Linked DNA regions of Drosophila melanogaster. The protein of the gene in region 3 interacts with the protein of the main gene of each other region in a pairwise test. Each region holds a gene or a part of one and is shown on either strand. Other genes may lie near its edges. The genes, in order: pgc, idc, GEFmeso and Fkbp39.

Region 1 (4,956 bases), 3.7 Mb from region 3:
CGCTATCGCATGGCGCTGCTGGCCTCAAAGAACTCGTTCGTATACCAGAAGTTGAGCGAGGACATCGTGAAGCCGACCAGCAAGGAGCAGAAGGAGCCCAAGCATCTGAAGCAGCCAAAGGTGCACCGATACGCGCCCATCAATCAGGTCTAAGTCCACCTAGAATCAGCAGTTCCGGGCCGGTGGCCGCGGAAATCGAACGAGTTGCGCTGTTTTTCTAATTTATAAGTATATTGATAGTTGAAAAAGTGGAAAATCACATCAGACAATTGACTAAACACAAGCACAAGAATGTAAGAAACAGGAGGAGGAGCAGTAGGTGGCAGTTAAAAGTATTAGCGAAAGTGCGAGGAAACAAAGCAACAACTAAAAAATACTTGAATCCAAATAAGAGATTGAAAGAGAGAGAATAAATCTTTGACAAAATCCTTTATCCTTGAAATATCCTGTACCATCAAATACTGTTAAGACCAGTCAAAGGTCCTTGGCAACAGCAGAGGTGGGCTTTCAGAGAACGCGTTTGATGAGCAACCGTTTCGAAAGCAACGGATTTGCAATTTATCAAACCTCTGCCCACAATCCGTATCCAATTAGTCCATATCCGGGAACAACTTGAAGATTTAGTGCCATTTTGCCAAAATTCAAACCGAGCGAAAATTACTTAAACACATTAAGGTTTCTAAACTGAGTGTCAAGTCAGGAACAAGAAACGAGGAGCGAGGAACAGAAAGTAGTAAGAGTTTTAGATGCGGGTCTGTGTAGCAAACGGTTAGGAGACTCCCTAGAATGACGTCTGATTTTTAATATGATCAAGAGATGAGAGAAATAATTAATGCATAAACTATGTTAAGACTTTTTTATTATCTTTTTTCCAATCGAAGGCAAGTAACAGCTTGACCTATTCGACATTGAAACCGATTCCGAAAACAATAAATTATTTTAACCAAACCGATCGTAATCTTTACAATGCATACTTAATAGACATACACACTTGCATACGTACTTTAAACAATAACATGCCTTTCAATAAAATTGAATATATTTTATCTGCGTTCAATAAAAGACTCAAGTTGACCGACATCCCCTTCCTCCTTTACGTAGGTGCTCAAATTCCGCTGGAAACAGAGTGCCAATTCGTTATCTTCCCGATCCCGTTTCAGTTCCTCTCTGACCTGCCGCCACATCCGTTCAAATCCACTATCGAACGGCATTCCCAGGAAGCGATTATGTCTGGAACGGAGTTCATTGCCGATCTGCTGCCACATTGCCTCGAATTCCCCGTCGTAGGGCATCCCTAGAAATTTACCCTCACATCCGGAGGATTCGAACATGAAGGAGTACTCAAACATGTTTCAGTCTAAAATATATTATAATTACAAAAATTACAAGCTTTTTTTGGAGCAACTAATTTGTAGGATTTAATCCTTTTTTTTTTGTTTTAATGATATGATATCATGTATGATTTGTATGATATTATATTAATATTAATATCTTATATCATAGTATTTTTGGTCCCAGCGTCGGTCTTCTTCCTGCAGCTTAGGAAAGCAAACTGAGTAGAGGATTCTCAAACGAAGTGCAGACCAAAAAAGAGGCCACAAAATAATGCTGAATGTACATAAGATCCATTGCGACAAAGAACATAAAGTAAACAAAAATCAAGCAGGGCATCAAATTTCCTGTGATTCTGTATAGGGTTTTTAATGGTATTTTTCGTATATACACAAGTCCAACCAAAATTAAATGGTTCACTCTAAGCTTTTTATACGCTTAAAAAAAATAGAATTTTGAAAGCTCAAGTATGGTCAGATCTTAAACGAAGATCCGTTAGTTTAACATTTTTTTTTCTTCAAGAGAACAAGTTGAGCGTGGGTAAGTTTTGGCTCCAAATTAATAGACCTCCATGGACTTCTCAAAGAGTTGCGACAGGTTTTCCTGCGTCTGCGCCCTGGGTGCTAGCTTAGTGATCCTTTCCTGGGGCAGGGTTCCCTCCACCAAGGCGGGTATATCGCTGCTGGAGAATCCCAGCTCTCGGAGGCCATTTTCTATGCCCGCGCGTTGCATAAAACCGCGTACAGTGTCCGCCAAAAGACGACCGGCGTCTGCTTTTTCGACACCTCGCACTTCTGCGCCCAGCAACTGGGCAGCCTCCAAATGCCGATCCGGACAAGCTGGAGCAGTGAACTCAAAGACCGCCGGAGCACTGATCACCACGGATAGGCCGTGTGGAATAAGAGCGTGATCCGCGGAGTAGCCCTTTGGCTTGTAATCCCTCACATTTCCAGAAATAGGATAGGAAAGGCCATGACACAGGTGCACTCCGGCATTACCAAATCCCACGCCAGCCATTGTGGAAGCCAGGTGCATCTGGGATCGGGCTTCTAGGTTATCGGGCTGGTAAATGGCGTTCACAAAGTTTTTCCTTATCGTCTCCAATGCGAATCGTGCCCACACATCCGACACTGGGTTCCTGCCCTGGTAGGTGGGTCTCAAGCTGGGATCACTGGGCGCCAAACCGCGTTCCCTGTAATCCACCGCCGTGAAACTCTCCAGGGCATGGCAGAACACATCAAAGCCAGCGAAAGCCATCACGCGTTGCGGCTGGGATAGGGTGTGCAGAGGATCAATCACAGCTAGAGTTAGATAGAACGATATTAGAATAAATTATTTAAAGAAGTTCAGTTTTTTACCCAAAGTAGGTTTGAGGAACTTGCTGGAAATCCCAGTTTTGGCATGCAACTTCTTGTAATCAAATATAGCTACTCCAGTGGTTTCGGAACCTGTTCCCGAAGTGGTGGGCATCGCAATCAGGGGCTTCAGTTTTACGGATATCTAAATGGAATTCAAGTGGTATTAAAGGTACTAAGTCTAAAAAGGAGACCTCACCTCCTTGCCTCTGCCAATTGGGCAGTTTACATAATCCAAAAACTCTGCATTTGCATCACTGCTAAAAAGATTAGCTGCCTTGGCTGTATCCATGGCAGATCCTCCTCCGATGGCCAGAAATGCATCGAACTCCTTGCCGCGCGCAAACTCCACGGCATGCCACATGCTCCCATCCGTGGGCTCCACCCGGGTTTCATCATAGACTTCGTAGTTGATGCCATTACGAGCCAGTGAATCCAAGGCCACTTTCACGGAGGGCAATTGCACGACATTTTTATCCGTGACCAAACAAACCTTCCGAGCTCCCAAGTTGCGAAGATCGGCTCCCACTTCGGCACTTACTCCCGGTCCAAATCGAACAGTCGAGGCTGACATCTGTTTATCAATACATTTGACCAAATTTGAATTAGAATTTGTTATATACCGAACAAAATTTAAGTTAAAAGTATTCACAAGATCTAAAATATAAATTCTATTGGGATGCTTAAGAATATAGAGATAGTATTATCTGGTCCAGGGTATGACCACCTGTCTAAAGATGAGAATCTACTATCTGGAGGTGCTCCAAAGTCCAAGGTTTTGCCACTTACCTCGAAGGCGTATTCCATGCGACCCGTTTGGGAGGCGGTTGGAGCTGCTGAGCCATAGTTATGCGAATGGGCGGGGCACTTGCAGCTATAAGACCATACTTTATTTAAATCACTTGAAATCAGTTATAAAACGCAATTTTTACTTACGAGTTGGCCACGATCGTGTTGATCAAACCTAAGACATTCTTCCGCGACATTCTGTATATAAATGAAATCAGCTGGACTGGTCTTTCGTTTGATAAGAACCCGCCGAATCGATAGCTGGCGCCAAAAGACAGCACTTCATAATCGATAGCTAACAATTTGAAATTCTCTGTCTTGCAGCTTTGAACTACAAGAAGACCCGAAAATGTGCGACTACCAGATGGAGTACTCCTTTATTTTTGAAGACAGCTCCTGCGAGGGCGATGCCTCGATGGCATCCTACGACAATGGATTCGAGTCCATGTGGCATCAAGTGCGCGAGGAGTTGCAAAGGGAGCGGGAGATGAATGAGCTCTGCCAGGTTTTCCAGCAAAACTTGAGCCTGAGTCCGCCGGTCATCGCGGATAGATGGAGATTCTGACTGGACCTCCCAAAAGCCAACTTATTGTGATATTTGTAAATTATAGTTTTAGCAGTTCGTTTGCCACATGAGTGGAACATCGTGAATGCACTTTTGATAAGTGCTCGGTTATTTTATATTGTAACTACCAGCCTTCAGAGGCGATCGTATGCATAGTTTCTTGAAGTCAATTTGTCCGTGTATTCAAATGTTTGCTTTCGTGAAAACTCGCATTGTTTTGTCACTCTACCAAGTAATCAATTTGTACCAATCAATCGCATATGGTTGTCCTAGATCTAAAAATGGCAATAATTTGCCTTCGGTATTGCACCTAATGTATTCAAGAACAAGTAGGGAAGCTCGAAATTTCTCAAATACTTACCCAAAAAATAGATAGAAATATATTTTCGATTCGCAATCGTTCAAAAACCCATTCGTTTTTAATTACGGGTCCCACAGTAAGATGTGACTGCGATTCAATTGTAATGGGAACAATTGTTCCCATTACAATGGAGCTAATTACCTAAATGTATGTCCGCCCATTTTTCGCGCTGGATTTACAACTCAATTTGCCGCGCTATCTGGCCGATCTGCGAACATAAACTACTGGCAATGGTAAACGATGTTGACGGCAGTTTCCCTCATTAGCATGCAGATCGTCGCCGATCTTCTGGGCGCCAGGCCATAAAACGTTTGATTCCAGGCGTATCGTTCAGCAGTTTGTGTTGAACTGGTAATAACTCGACATCGCGATCGCGAGATGAAGTGGCTTAGTTTGTTCCTGGTATTCGGCATCCTCGGACTCATCGGCAGTCTGGGCACTTTAGCCCTAGCGGAACCCAATCCGGAGCCCAAGGGTCGTCCGCACACAACGCGACGTCCTCGAAACGATAACGACAACGATCGACGCTAGCAATCCGAGCGGCTGGAGGAGAT
Region 2 (4,898 bases), on a different chromosome or scaffold from region 3:
GGAGCAAACGTCGCACACGTAGGGACGCTCCTTAGTGTGAATTCTGGAGAGAAATAATGTCAGTTTAATTTACTTTCAACTGTTTCGAATATTTCTCACCTATGATGTTTGGTTTTCGTGGATCGATCGGCGAAGGCAGCTGGACAGTAGTTGCACTTGTATGGTCGGTTCCCCGTGTGAGTGTTCATGTGCCGTACCAGCTGTTGATTCTGCACAAAGCCTCTTCCGCAGATCCTATAATAACATCCTATTAGCCATAGTTACTATTTACTTTCAACTTTTAAACCTACTCGCACTCGTGTGGTTTAACACCAGAATGGAATTTCATGTGCTCGGTGAGACGCGCCTGAGTCGGATAGATATTTCCGCACACATCGCAGATGTATGTGCTCAGCTTGTTGCGCGGCTTTCTGCCCACCTTCTTTTTGAAGGTTTCCACTTTTGGGCTATTCTTGTGGTATGCAACTGGCTTCCTGCCCGATCGGTCGCATTTTTCCGGCTTAGCATGAGTTGGGTCATAATCTTCGTCAGAGTCGAGTATGTCTTCAGCAATTTCTTCTTCGGGCGGCTCCTCTGTGGCAACATCTGTGCCGGTGGAGCCTTTTTCCTGTGCGATTTCCGGCGAGTTTTCGTTGGTGAGCAGTTCGTATTCCTCGTATTCAGCATAGGTTTCAGCCTCCTCGATCTCATTTGGCACCGGCTGCGTGGGATCGTGCACATCGAACATATTGGTATCATCAGTATCACCATCCTCCACGACATAGGTGATAACCTGATGTTGCTGATCCTCCTCGCCCTCCACTTTCATGCCGCCATCCAGCTGACTGGCGTAGTCCTCCCACGACTTCAGTACGCTCTCCACCGAAAGGTCCTCCGCGATGCTAAGCAAATCCCCTTCGCCGGCGGCGTTAGCATTGCTGGCCTCCCGGTCCAGCATGTCCATAATGTGCTGATGGGATCGCTGGCATGTCAGACGGAACTTGTAGCAGAGCCGCAGGCAGCGCACGCACTTGCTGCACATCTTGTCCGGGAAGTTGTCATCTAGGCTGACCTGTTTGGGTTGGAATAATTTAAAATGGGCAAACCAAGCAGGATTCACACTTACTGGAATGCCTGCGCAAATGTGCAGCATTTGGTCCAGTCGCGTGCTTGCCGTTTCGCTGAATATGTCGTGGAGCAGCTCCTCGCCCTCGCTGGGATTGTTCAGGCAAACGCGGCACACCACCCACTTCTCGTTGGACTCAGTTTTCATGGCTAATTCGATAAAACAATCACTTCGGTTGTTGCAGAAGATTCAAACAGCTGAATTTAAGCGTCCACGGCCACTGGCCATTCACAGCGAAACGCGCCCGCCAAAGTTGATACGGTGAATGCACGTTATGAACGACTACATGGAGCGTACAGGGTACATAGCTGTATGTGCACTTTTTACCAAACAAATGTTTTAAATAATTTTTTTTTGGTAGAAAATAATATAAAAATGCGCGTCATTTTATTAATTTTATTTTCAATTTACAAATATTGAAGGAAAATGGTTTTAAGTTCGTTTATATAATAAAAAGGAAAAGCACTATTCTATCAAAGTAGTTTTGTTTCAGTACAGTAATGACCACACTGTCTTATGGAACGATGGAACTTTACATGAGCTTGACATATAATATTGTATTAAACTGCTTAATCAAGCTTTTATATATTTAAATTGTAAAACACTTGAATTCCAATTTTACTGATTTATTTAACTGCCCACAAAATGCATTCGTATTCTTAATTATATATTTAATATTTGAAGTAGCGAATGGAATACCCTTAGCGTCGACTGTGGTCACCCTGTGTGGCGACATTCGCATTGCAACGCGTGCACTTCGCTCCAGACTACAATCTATTTTTTTGGCGTCGTCTTCGTCCAGCGAGCGTGTTATTATAAATATTATAGCGGAGGGTAAGTAGCCTCCTGGAAGAGATCCATCTCCTATTCGCGACAATGAGAGACTCGGCAGCACATGCGAGTCCGGCGGCAGCGGCAACGAGCACGCAGAAGTGGATCGTTTGCCGGGTTTGCCTGCAGCAGCCCAAGGAGCCCATGGCCAGCATTTTCAACGACGATTCGGAAAAGGATCTGACCCACATGATTCGCGAGTGCGGCGGAGTGCCCGTAAGTTTGTCCCATTGGACCCCGAACCATATAACAATGCAATTTCCTTGGCAGATCAAACAGTTCGATCACTATCCGGACAAGATATGCGAGAAGTGCTTCAAGGTGCTGAAAATGGCATTTAAGTTTCGAGAGACCTGCCAAAGATCGTACGGCCATCTGCGCCAGTTCGTTGGACCCGTAGAGGTGGAGCAGCGACCACCGGAGAAAAAGGGCTCAGAGACAGCCACCAAGCTGGAGCCGGATGTCGATCCCGATGAGGCGGAGCAGGAGCCAGAGCATGACGAGGAAGACGAGGATGTGGACCTGGACGAGAGCCACTATGCCGAGGCGGACGATGCCGCCGAAACGCAGGGTGGTGTCTTCCATGACGAGATTGAGGATGGTATCCTCGTTGAGCTGGAAAAGGATCGGATTGTGCACGTGAAGAACGAGCAGGTGGAGGAGGACGGCATAATCGAGGAGGTTTATGACGTGTATGAGACGTACGAGGGCGACCTCATCCCAGATCAGGGCTATGACCACGAGATGGCCGATCAAGCCCTGTCCGAGTTATCTGCCGAAATCGAATACCTGGACCAGGTCGAGCATGATCAGTTGACCGAAAGTGCCCACGAGGATGATGCGGAAGTCGATCTGAACTCAACCGAAGAGGAGTTCGTTCCCTCAAAAAGCGTTCGCGCGTCCATCCATGCGCGGAATGCCACCAAGCGGAGAGTGAATCCCCGCAGGTCAGCTACATCGACGGCCTCGGTGGCTGTAGAATCGAGTACCTCCAAGACAACTGACCGCGGCAATCCACTTAAGGTACGGCGGGGTAACAGTGATTCGGCTGGCAGCAAAATGAGCATCAAATCCGAGAAGGACATCTCGATTGGCGAGGTGCTGGCGCGCAAGCATTCCGGCATTAAAACCAAAGGCGGCCACAAGATCCTTCTTGGCGACAAGAAGGAGTTCAAGTACATCTGCGATGTCTGCGGCAACATGTATCCCTCCCAGAGTCGCCTTACCGAGCACATCAAGGTCCACTCCGGCGTGAAGCCGCACGAGTGCGAGTAAGTAACTTCACAGTTTTTACTGCGTGTTCACTATGTTCTTTGGAGTGTTATTACGATTTTAGCTCATATATCCGTCTAATTCGGGTATAATGATTGTGTGGAAGTAATTAATCATTTTCAATAAGCCTTCATTAACTTAAAATCTCATTTTTCAGGATCTGTGGTCATTGCTTCGCCCAGGCTCAGCAGCTGGCACGCCACATGAACACCCACACCGGAAATCGGCCGTACAAATGCAGCTATTGCCCGGCAGCCTTCGCCGACTTGTCCACGCGTAACAAGCACCACAGGTAAGTTGGTGAGCTCCAATCCAAACCCGATTTGATTGAATAATTACCCGTTTGCAGAATCCACACCAACGAGCGACCCTACGAGTGCGATGTTTGCCACAAGACATTCACTTACACCAACACCTTGAAGTTCCACAAAATGATTCATACGGGAGAGAAGCCGCACGTGTAAGTTTCGCTTTCCCCCTGGCGGTTACAGTCCGTATTCTCTAGCACGAACTTTCACTGTTTCACAGATTGTTTATGCATACACTAGCTTCAGAACCAGATTGAGTTTTTTTTTTGATATAGAGAGATGGAAATCGTTTATAAAAATATACTTTTTATTCTATAAGAATGTACAATTCACAGTGGAAACTATTTTGAAAGAGCCATGCTGTTTCAAAAGATTATTGTTTACGAATATTACGTAGTATATTAATATTTTGAGTTTAGTTGATTGTTTATTAGGTGCCTGAGGCGTAAATAACATTAGATAAACAGGGAATGAAGTATTAGTGTTTAAATATTATAAGTTATAAGGAAGACATAAATTAATCAAGGATTCTAATCAATTTAAAACACGTTTGCTCTCTCTCTTTAGCTGCGATGTGTGCGGCAAGGGATTCCCGCAGGCGTACAAACTGCGTAACCACCGGGTCATCCACGAGAGGCGCGGCCAGTCCGCACGGGAATCCGTAGCCGGGCTGGTGTCCTACGACACGGCCAACATCGTTGGCCTGGATATGTAAATTTCGAGCGAGGACTCCACGTCGTCCCAAAGCGACACTTTACACTTTAAGCAGAAACACGCGTGTAATTACACATCTAATTATATTGATGAAATTTAAGCCTAGCCTAATTATGCGGAAATAAATTAAGAATAGCCGCGCATATGGTCTTGGCGTCGGTCTCCTCCGGATAGAGCTGCAGTACGGCATGCACCTGGTGCGGTGGGAAAAGGCTGCCCAGGTGATAGCGCAGCAATCGGCGCTGCTCCTCCCGCGGAAGCTGCTGCGAGGCGTGCAGCTCCTCGTTGATGCGCGAATCGGAGGCAGACAGATGGGCGAAGTTGTGAGCGGGCAGTGGCAGACCCAGTCCCTGATCCGTGACCGGGGCGGATGGCGTGCGCGTCAGATACTGGTGGTGATAGTTGGTGCTGGAGTTGGACTGTTGATGCTGCTGCTGTGCCTGGTGTTGTTGTTGCTGGAGGGGAGCACTGTAGGTGGGCACCAGCAGGCGGTAGGCGGGCGGCGGTTGTTGGCGCTGCAGCTTCTTGTGGCGATTGGGCTGGCTGGATTCCACGGCACCCTCTGAAAGATCCATTTGAGCGGAGAAGCCCTGACATACCTGCTCGATGGTATTTGACTTGGTGCGCCCCAGCGGCTCCCGGCTAATCAGTGAGTTGATCTTAACATT
Region 3 (4,872 bases):
ATGTGCGTTGTGCGGAGCTAAAGTTGCTGCCATTCCTCAGTGACTCCGAGTAGTGATTAGGGTGAAACTTGCAGGGCCAGTGCTTAAGGGTCTTCTCGTACTGCACCCGCAGTCGGGGCATCCGTTCCGGCACCTCCACCACCCGGACTCCCTGGCACAAAGCACGGAGCACGTGCTCCGAAAAGGCAAACTGTTCAAGGTGTTGTTCCAGGCTTTGAGACACTCCGATCTCTGAGCTGGGACATATGAGCACGCTGCGATCCTGGACGCGCTTTAGGTGTTGAAAGTGGGGCAATTTCTGTGAGAGCTCCTGGATGACCGCCTGGAGCTGCTGTTTCGTCTCCAACTCGCAACTGTGCGCCTTGATGAGCGCAATATCCTCGTCGAACTCATCGGAGAGGATGGCCCGGATCCCAGTTATGTCTTCATCCAGATTGGGTGATTTTCGAGCACGTTTGTTTGGTGGCGCGGATATATCCATTATTTACTTAATTCTTCAATTAGAAGAATGCCAATTGGAATCGATTGAAATAGGTTATCGATAAGTGCCAAGCGCTGGCGTTGAAACAGCTGTTTGGATATTAAGCGCCAACTTTGAAAAATGTCTTCTATTTAAAATATGCATTTAAAAATAATTTAGTGAAAGATTATACGTTTAAAAGTCTTTAAAGCTATTTAGCTTGGGAGCTGTTTCAAATATTTCCTACTTTTGATATACATTCCCTAATACTTAATCTAATCAGCTCAATAATCTGATCAATTGTCTAATTTGCATTATAATTCCTTACAACCAATATCTTTTTTGATGTCTACATGTAAGCAGTGCCCAGTCTGATACCCAAAGTTTAAATTCAAAATTCCAGTGAAATATGTGCTTGTGATTTCTAGTCAAAACTTAGAGGAAACATCGAAATGTGTCTGCGCTTGTTTTGCGGCTATTTGTCGCTTTACATTGGCTGCATCTTCATCGGCTTCACGGGGATGCTTCTAGCTTTAATGGTCTTTTCTGTGGGTCTATTCGAGATGATCAAGGGCAATCCGGAAACAGTGCTTGTGGTCATGGCAATGGTCTTTGGCATTGTCCAAGCCCTAGCTAAAATTCTTCTTCTCCTCGGAACGATGTGGGTAAGTGAATACTTTTATCCTTAAATTTGTAAAGATATCCAATCGCTGTTCTACAGGACATGTGCTGGGCCATGCTCTTGTCCTTTTTTATAGGTATTGCGGCCCTGGGGCTCCTCATCGCACTTGTGGTGCTCTTCTACATCCTCTTGTGGGACCCTCTGCACCTCCTTCTGGGCGGTTTTCTTAGCATACGTAAGTTGGTGAAAAAATTTTGAATTTCTTTTGGATCTGAAAACAAAAGAAGATAGAGAAGTAGATTAATACATTAACTATCGAGAACTTCTTTCTATAACACACACACAACATATAACACAAACAAGCAACAAAACGTAGTGGACTTAAAAAGTACATAAATTCTATTCACGTTCGATTTTTAATTAAAATAATATTTTTCTCTTATCCAGTCGAGATGTACTACGAATGGGTCATCATTTCAACCTGGTGGTGCTGTCGATCATGCACCCACGACTGCTAGGAGTTGCAGTTGGTTCCACTTGTTGCATGCATAGAAGATACAAACATACCATGTTGGAGATCGAACGCCTTGGAATGAGCATACTATGCAACTCTCAGCGATCTTCGCATCGGATGTAATACTGTGAGCACCGAGAGAGAGAGAGAGAACTTGTATTCGAATCCCCCCATTATTTGTGTATGAGGTGACTTCGTGCTCGGGTCTTCCGACTTGAGTGTCTTTCAAGTAAGTCAGTTCACTCTGAGACGCGCGCTGGATATGTCGTTCCTGGAGCGCTCGAGCTGTTCCTGCGAATGAGCGTGTGTGTGCCAGTGTACCGCCCCCTACCCGTCAAGAAAAAAAAAAGGAAATAAAAATATCGGCAGGAAAAATATCAAAAATTATATCTGAAAATACACAAGTGTATCTGCAAGTGCAGTCGTATATGTGAGACGAGAGTGTTTTCCATTTGCCGCAATTAGAAGTAACGGTGCGAAGGTGATTTGCACGGGAGAAACTGGAAAATCAGCGAAGCGCGAGATACTTGTATCTGCAATTTGTGTGTTTTCGTTTTGTTTTCGGTTTCGCAAATAGCAAGTGAAGAGCCCATTACTTTAATTCAATCAACGATCGGTTGTTGTGTGGCCCGCTTTTGGAGAATCCCCACAATTTGTTCTAAGCCCAAATAAAAGTAATAAAATAAAAGCCCCAACCCCAGAGACAGAAGTCCGTGAGCCGGTTTAGTCATCCGAAAGTTCCGAGAACTGAGCGCAACATTGAGATACATTCGCGTATTCTCATTCCGAATCGCTGGACACCAGCTGTTGGCCACAATGCCTCCGTACCTGCTGGATATTTGCCTTACCTCGGAGCTTAGTAGACCGCGATAAGATATCGGCGACTAGTGGTGAATAAAGCCAGATACTCGTACTCGAAACTGCGAAAACGTCCATATACGACAAACAAACGGAAAAGAAAATCGCACAGTTCGGTGCCAGTGTTTAAAGTTAAATCGAGCGCTTATCTTATCGGCCAGCCATTGATTGAGCTTTGCCTTTCCGCTCTGCACCGGGTGAAGTCATTTGGCCACAATTCGCCCGTTTTAGATACTGTATCTGCGGCCATATCTAATGCAGCAGCCAAAGCAGTCGCGATAATAACGACCTCCTTCAGTGTCAGTTGCTCTGCAATCGCCGTCTAAATTTAGAGACAGATCAGGCGCGAGGGACCAGATCTGGCCAAAACCAAACCAGACGCACTCGGAAATCGTAAATCAAGCAGCCGGAGGAGACCAAGATGGACATAGAATCCGATTCGGACACCTCGGAGAGATGGGAGGACTTTTTTGGTAAGCGAACGGGATCACTGAACTTCTGCGTGCAGAAATGACATGACTCAGCGGGCTGGGGAGGTGCACTGAGGAAAAATCACGTATCAATCACAGATAGAGACTAGTAATATTGGTTTTCAGCATTTCAGACGACATTAGTCTACATTTTAATAATCCGTCATTGAAGGCATAAGAACATACAAAAGCTTAGGGTACTATATGTTTACAGTAGGATTATGAATAATATACATATGTCCCGATCTTATATTTCTTCCTGTGTGGGAGACACTACGCATTCTCCAAGAACTCCAAACTCCGAATATGGACTTGCGTACAAGAACAGACCATCAAGTTGGCTTTCTTTGGCTCGGCGGGTTGGGGGATGGTGATGGAATGGGGATTGCGGCTGGTGCTGGGACTGGGACTGGGGCCAATGCATTTGGTGGATCGACGGCACCGTTCCGTTCCCATAACTGTACAAAAAGTGGGGGGAAAATAAAATAACAACCCACTGAGTGGCATTGCGTGAATTGCGGTGTAACGGGTTCGCTTTGTTTTTGCATTCCGCTTTTGCGCAGTCCGAAATTTTTCGACATTATTTAAGCGCTCGAAAAGTCGGTTGTAATGAAATTTAATGATAATACATAATTTCGGGCCATTTTGACCCACATATTACCATACAAGTGTGGCCAAGAAAAGGTCTGTCTTCGGATTTGCAATTTATGTTTTGGGTGGCTCCATTCGGTTTGCTGACCCACTTAATTCGTAACGCCGATTTGCTTGTAACTTTGTGGCACATGCTGCATATTTGTTTTTCTTCTCACCGAAAGCTTTCGTTCAATTAAGTGCATTAGTCATAAGTCTTGACACTGCGTTTCTTTTGTTGACTTTCTTTATTATTATTGCACGCCCGCTAACAGCGGATGTTAGATAACGCCGCCCTTAGCGCAACAGCGCTGTAAGTAGCTCTGTTAGTTAACCCATGTTAGGCCAAAGAAGGTTTCCAAACTTATAATAATCAATAGTAATATGTATATGTAATAAGTAATATGTATTATCATACTAATTGCAAGTAACTCTATTAAAACTGTAAAACTGAATTTAAGCAATCTTTTGGCCAACACAATTCCAAACCAAATGTGTGAAGAGAGAGAGAGAGAATAACTAATTTAGTTAAGTACCTTCAAAAAACTGCCCGAAGAAAATAGTTTAAAACGGGTTAAGATGGTGCGTCAATTATTGATAACGGACACTGCGAATTCAGCAAGTGGCCTTTGTTATATCAATTATATACACATACATGAGTAGGGCGAATGAATCATGTATAGGTGATGGGGGGGTGTTGCGGCATTTATGGGTTTGTTCTGCTGATCCCACCAGCTTAGACATAGACGATTGTGCAAGTGGTTGACATTTGGCGGGGTCAGCAAACGTGACGCCATCTGTCGGCCGCATGTCCAGGATATTACCGATCGCATCGACCTATAAATAGAACCCGCCGAATGATATCGCCAGCAGTTGACCGCATGCACTATCAAATGTCACCAGTTCGTCTTCTTTTGCCCTTTCCGTCACCGTGTTTGTTTGCCTCTTCAACAACAGAGTCAACTTCAATTCCAGACAAACAAACAAAACGGGGGAATAAGAAATTTTCATCTGTGGACACAAGTGCATGAGCGCAAGGGGGCAGGGTGCCAGGTCAAGTCGTTGAATTACCACTCGTAACCACAAACACCACGGGAGTCTGTTCATTCGATATTGTTAAAGATTGTGATCTGAGGAAACCTTTTTGGGCCCTGCGGTTCGCCATCGATTCTCTTGTGACATTTATTTGGCTGGCCTGGCTTTCATATTTGGTTTATTCAATAAATACTAATAGATATCGATGGTAGTAGGGCTAAGGCGTTGATAAGATTTCGCCGCATGTATTTATTGACTTTTTGATAAAGCCGACAAGGCCAGC
Region 4 (3,903 bases), on a different chromosome or scaffold from region 3:
TCGCAGCGGTTCACGAAGCGAAAGCTGCACGAAGTCCTGCAGCTCGGAATAGATGTTACGCCGGATAGCCTCGCACAATACGGTTTCAATGCGCGCCATTAGCACCTGCAGTCCCTTTATCATGGCGATGACCTCGATCAGCGCGAACTTCTCTTCCGAGGTGTAATTGTAGCGGGTGGCCCGCTCGTACTCCTCAGCCTCCACGGGGCACTCCTTGTTCTGGTGATGATCAGTCGGATGCAGGAGCTTCCAGGAGTACAACTCGGTGACCACACTGGTCCACTCGGACAGCAATTGAAGGCCGCGCAGAGCCAGGTCGGCCGTAATCCGGTTCTCGGCATCAGAGGGATTCTCCTTGACGGTGGTGGTCACCTCGTTTGTGTATCGCGCCAGCTCCGAAATGTACTTGACGTGATCCTCGCGTATCTGCGGCAAATGCACCATTAGATCCGCCTGTGGGCTGATGGCGTTTGAGCTGGACAGCGGCCACTTGCTGGAATCGAAGTGCTTGCTGCGCTTTATGTAGTTGAAGGGAGCAATCTGCATGTCGCCGAAGAGGGGCACCACTTCCAGGTTCTTAAAGATGCGATCGATGCGATCCAGCCGTATCTTCTTCTTTTGATCAAGTTTGTTGATATTGCACGCATCGCTGTCCATAAGGAACAGGCCAAAGCCCATAACTTTTACCAGCATGTGCTTCTCCTCAGGGGTCAAGTACATCTTTGTCTCGAACATATGCACGCAAATGTTGACCACATCTGAGAGCAGATCCTCGTAGCCCACGATCTTCTCCAGCGTGTCCTTGACCGTGTCGCGAATCTTGTTCTGCGTGGCCAGGAACATGGACAGATTCTGCGACTCCTGCAAGGTGTGCGAGTCCGACATCACTTTGAGGAACTGCGCAGCTCGCCTGTAGGTGGAGTAATCGTTCTTCACGCTGGACTTCATGTTCTTCAGCTCGTCCAGCACGGCAAACATGTTGATAAACTTGCCTAGCGTCAATAGGTACGCCTCGGACACGAAGTCCTTGCGCTTCTCGGCGTGGCACAAGCGCTTCACCTCGCCGGAGAAGGCCTCGATGGCCTTGCGTTGGAAGTACATGAAGTTGAGCAGCTTGTTCACCTCCGGGGCTAGCACCTCGACCGTCTTCTCGTAGATCTCCACGCGATTCGGCTGCTCATTGGACTTGGGCTGCGGAATGGCGCGCGAGCAGCAGCGCCAGGTGTAGAGCATTACTGCGTGTTTCTGCCCCTCGTCCAGGAGCACATTCTGCGGGCGGAGAGAAGGGGTTCAGAGCTGTGAGTAATGCTAATGCGATAAGCCGGATACGCTAACTCACCAAGTTGGCATGGGTGGTGGCCTCCTCGATGTACTTGGCGATACCCGTGACAAATCCATTGCGATCCTCGAAATTCGTATCGAAGTTTGCCTTGTAGATAATCGAGCAGGGCTGCGCCTCGATGCAGGGCTGCTCGTCCGGCAGGGATAGCTCGTCCAACACCTCCACGTTGGACAGCGCGTCGGCTAGCGTAATCTTCTCCGTCATGCTGGGCTGCTTATCATGCTCCAGCAGCGCGAAATGGTTAAATTCTAACAAGGCGGGGCCCCAATCCAATCGACACAAATTTTTTTCGCCACAAATACAACACGACTTTTACCATTCGCCTGGGTGCGTGGACACGTGGCCATAATTAGCACATTTTTGCTGGCGGTTGGCGTCTACGATGTGCTTATGCTTATATGGCTGCGCACCGCTAATTTCGATAAGAGAAAGATAATCGATAAATACGGCGCATTGGCGGCACATCACATCACTAGCGTCTGTGGTTCCGTTTCGTTTTAGCGAACTCAATTTCTCCTATTTTATATTGCATTTTCCGTTAAGAGTAGCCTACAATTCTGCAAGATGTCGATGTTTTGGGGTAAGTCGAACTGATCTCACTTGCCCCCTCCGGGCTGGTTGTGCCAACGAGCTCTTGGGTGCTCCGACCGCGCTTTTATTGCCACCACGTGCTTGCCGCTCGATTTACCGGCAGCGTGGAGCGGCGCCATTTGCACGCCGATGTAAAGTAAACCATGTTTTTGACCAACTGTGTCCTCTTCCAGGTTTGAACATGAAGCCTGAGCGCAAGTACTCGCAGACGATCATCAAGTCGTTCCACATCTCGGGCGTGGCACTCGACAAGGGCCAGGAGGCCAAGTTGTACCTCGCTGCCGAGAAGCAGGAGTACATCGTGGCCACCGTGACCAAGGCCATTCCACAGGTTGCGCTCGACCTGAACTTCAGCAAGGGCGATCGCATCATGTTCTACACCGCCGGTAAGACCTTTTATGTCCACTATGTTCGCATGTTTATCCGTTTCTGACGCTTTCGTTCGTTTCACAGGCGACGCCAGCGTTTCTCTGTTGGGCTACTTGCACGACATTGATTCCGAAGATGATGAGGATGACGATCAAATGACGATCGAGAATTTGCTGAACTCCAAGGCGATCAAGAATAGCAAAAAGTCTGAAGATGATGAGGATGAGAATGAGAGCGGCGAGGAGGACGAGGAGGATACTGATGACGATAGCCAGATAATCGAGGAATACGAGTCCTTCCTCGAAAATGGTGAGGAGGAAGATGACGACGATGTTGATGAGGATAACGAGGAGAGTGGCGAGGAGGATGAACAGGACAGCGACGACTCCGAAGCTGAAGAGGAACAGCCAAAGGCCAAGGTTGCCAAGCTCTCTCCTGGCGCTAGCGCCAAGAAATCTGGCAAGGAGCAGAACGGTGTGGCCAAGAAGGAGGAGGCCAAGCAGCAGCAAAAGAAGAAGGAGAAGCCAGAGGCCAAGAAGGAACAACCCAAGGCCAAGGAGCCAGCCAAGCAGCAACCAGCTTCTAAGGATCCACGTACTATCACCGGAGGCGTGAAGATTGTGGATCAGGTCGTCGGCAAAGGCGAAGAAGCCAAGCAGGGCAAACGCGTATCTGTTTACTACATCGGCCGCCTGCAGTCGAACAACAAGACCTTCGACAGCCTCCTGAAGGGAAAACCATTTAAGTTCGCCCTGGGCGGCGGAGAGGTCATCAAGGGCTGGGACGTGGGAGTCGCCGGCATGAAGGTGGGCGGCAAGCGAGTCATTACCTGCCCCCCGCACATGGCGTACGGCGCACGGGGAGCTCCACCGAAGATCGGACCGAACTCCACTCTCGTCTTCGAAGTGGAACTGAAAGCTGTGCATTAGTGCACTATATTAACATCATATAGACTTGTAATCCTAAGTAAGTATCCACGTCGTACAACTTGATAAAAATGTTAAATAAACTCTGTTTTCCGGCTGTTCATAAATCAACAGTTTTGTAACAATCGCATGTATTTGGTATGGGGTCTCTAAGGGGTTTTTTCGGGTGAACATACATCCAGCAGGGGCTCAGACTGGAGTTTCCAGTGCTCGAGTACGTAAGGCAGCCGTTCGCTGGGATCTGTGCTCCAGTGGTGCAGACGACACTTGAGTCGCGCCTGTTCCAGCTTGTTTATGGTCACAGTGCAGTAGAAGTCCTTGTTCTCCTTCTTCAGGTCGGGTCCCTCGATGCGCTCCTTGGGCAGGGTAATGCACTCCTCGCGACAATAGAACCCAGTCTTGCGCAGCGAGGCCTTGATGTGCCAGGGCTCGAGCACCCATGGCTCATCCTTGTTCATGACCACCGCCAGCACAATGGTCTCCAGCATGTTGACCGTGCGCTGGGCGTAGGGGGAGCTGTGTTTAACAGTCGATTTTTCAGCCTCTGTCTTGGCGTACTTGGCCACATTCTCCGGCGTATTGTACGCGGCCAAACCCGGCAGCAGGAGCTTATTGTAGACAAAGTGCGGCTTCATTGACACCACGTCGCCCTTGTCGCCAACGCCCTCGACGAAG

Evidence for each region.
Region 1: the proteins of GEFmeso (region 3) and pgc interact in a two-hybrid assay, tested with the Drosophila melanogaster proteins (one large-scale study listed by BioGRID).
Region 2: the proteins of GEFmeso (region 3) and idc interact in a two-hybrid assay, tested with the Drosophila melanogaster proteins (one large-scale study listed by BioGRID).
Region 4: the proteins of GEFmeso (region 3) and Fkbp39 interact in a two-hybrid assay, tested with the Drosophila melanogaster proteins (one large-scale study listed by BioGRID).

Annotation. Positions count from the first base shown.
Region 1 is NT_033778.4:22,328,372-22,333,327, forward strand, and holds pgc (polar granule component), read left to right. Parts: upstream 1-1,828; 5' UTR 1,829-1,890; coding exon of another isoform or gene 1,891-2,633; intron 2,634-2,690; coding exon of another isoform or gene 2,691-2,832; intron 2,833-2,886; coding exon of another isoform or gene 2,887-3,261; intron 3,262-3,476; coding exon of another isoform or gene 3,477-3,561; intron 3,562-3,623; coding exon of another isoform or gene 3,624-3,673; exon of another isoform or gene 3,674-3,701; intron 3,702-3,799; exon of another isoform or gene 3,800-3,800; 5' UTR 3,801-3,825; coding exon 3,826-4,041; 3' UTR 4,042-4,442; downstream 4,443-4,956. Other genes in the region: Gp150, read left to right, coding at 1-153; CG34207 (uncharacterized protein), read right to left, coding at 1,044-1,349; T3dh (type III alcohol dehydrogenase), read right to left, coding at 1,891-2,633, 2,691-2,832, 2,887-3,261, 3,477-3,561, 3,624-3,673; CG34208 (uncharacterized protein), read left to right, coding at 4,781-4,933.
Region 2 is NT_033777.3:20,029,959-20,034,856, forward strand, and holds idc (identity crisis), read left to right. Parts: upstream 1-1,864; 5' UTR 1,865-1,981; coding exon 1,982-2,152; intron 2,153-2,206; coding exon 2,207-3,207; intron 3,208-3,365; coding exon 3,366-3,500; intron 3,501-3,557; coding exon 3,558-3,668; intron 3,669-3,922; exon of another isoform or gene 3,923-4,083; coding exon 4,084-4,231; 3' UTR 4,232-4,337; downstream 4,338-4,898. Other genes in the region: trem (trade embargo), read right to left, coding at 1-43, 100-234, 291-1,051, 1,106-1,252; Regnase-1 (regnase 1), read right to left, coding at 4,338-4,898.
Region 3 is NT_033778.4:18,608,736-18,613,607, reverse strand, and holds the start of GEFmeso (guanine nucleotide exchange factor in mesoderm), read left to right. Parts: upstream 1-1,830; 5' UTR 1,831-2,875; coding exon 2,876-2,927; intron 2,928-4,872. Other genes in the region: CG10927 (uncharacterized protein), read right to left, coding at 1-481; CG42697 (uncharacterized protein), read left to right, coding at 913-1,125, 1,182-1,317, 1,530-1,600.
Region 4 is NT_033777.3:15,331,032-15,334,934, reverse strand, and holds Fkbp39 (FK506-binding protein 39kD), read left to right. Parts: upstream 1-1,801; 5' UTR 1,802-1,906; coding exon 1,907-1,922; intron 1,923-2,106; coding exon 2,107-2,319; intron 2,320-2,386; coding exon 2,387-3,231; 3' UTR 3,232-3,351; downstream 3,352-3,903. Other genes in the region: Cyfip (cytoplasmic FMR1 interacting protein), read right to left, coding at 1-1,269, 1,340-1,546; mRpL9 (mitochondrial ribosomal protein L9), read right to left, coding at 3,378-3,903. UniProt on the Drosophila melanogaster protein: PPIases accelerate the folding of proteins. May function in a signal transduction cascade during early development.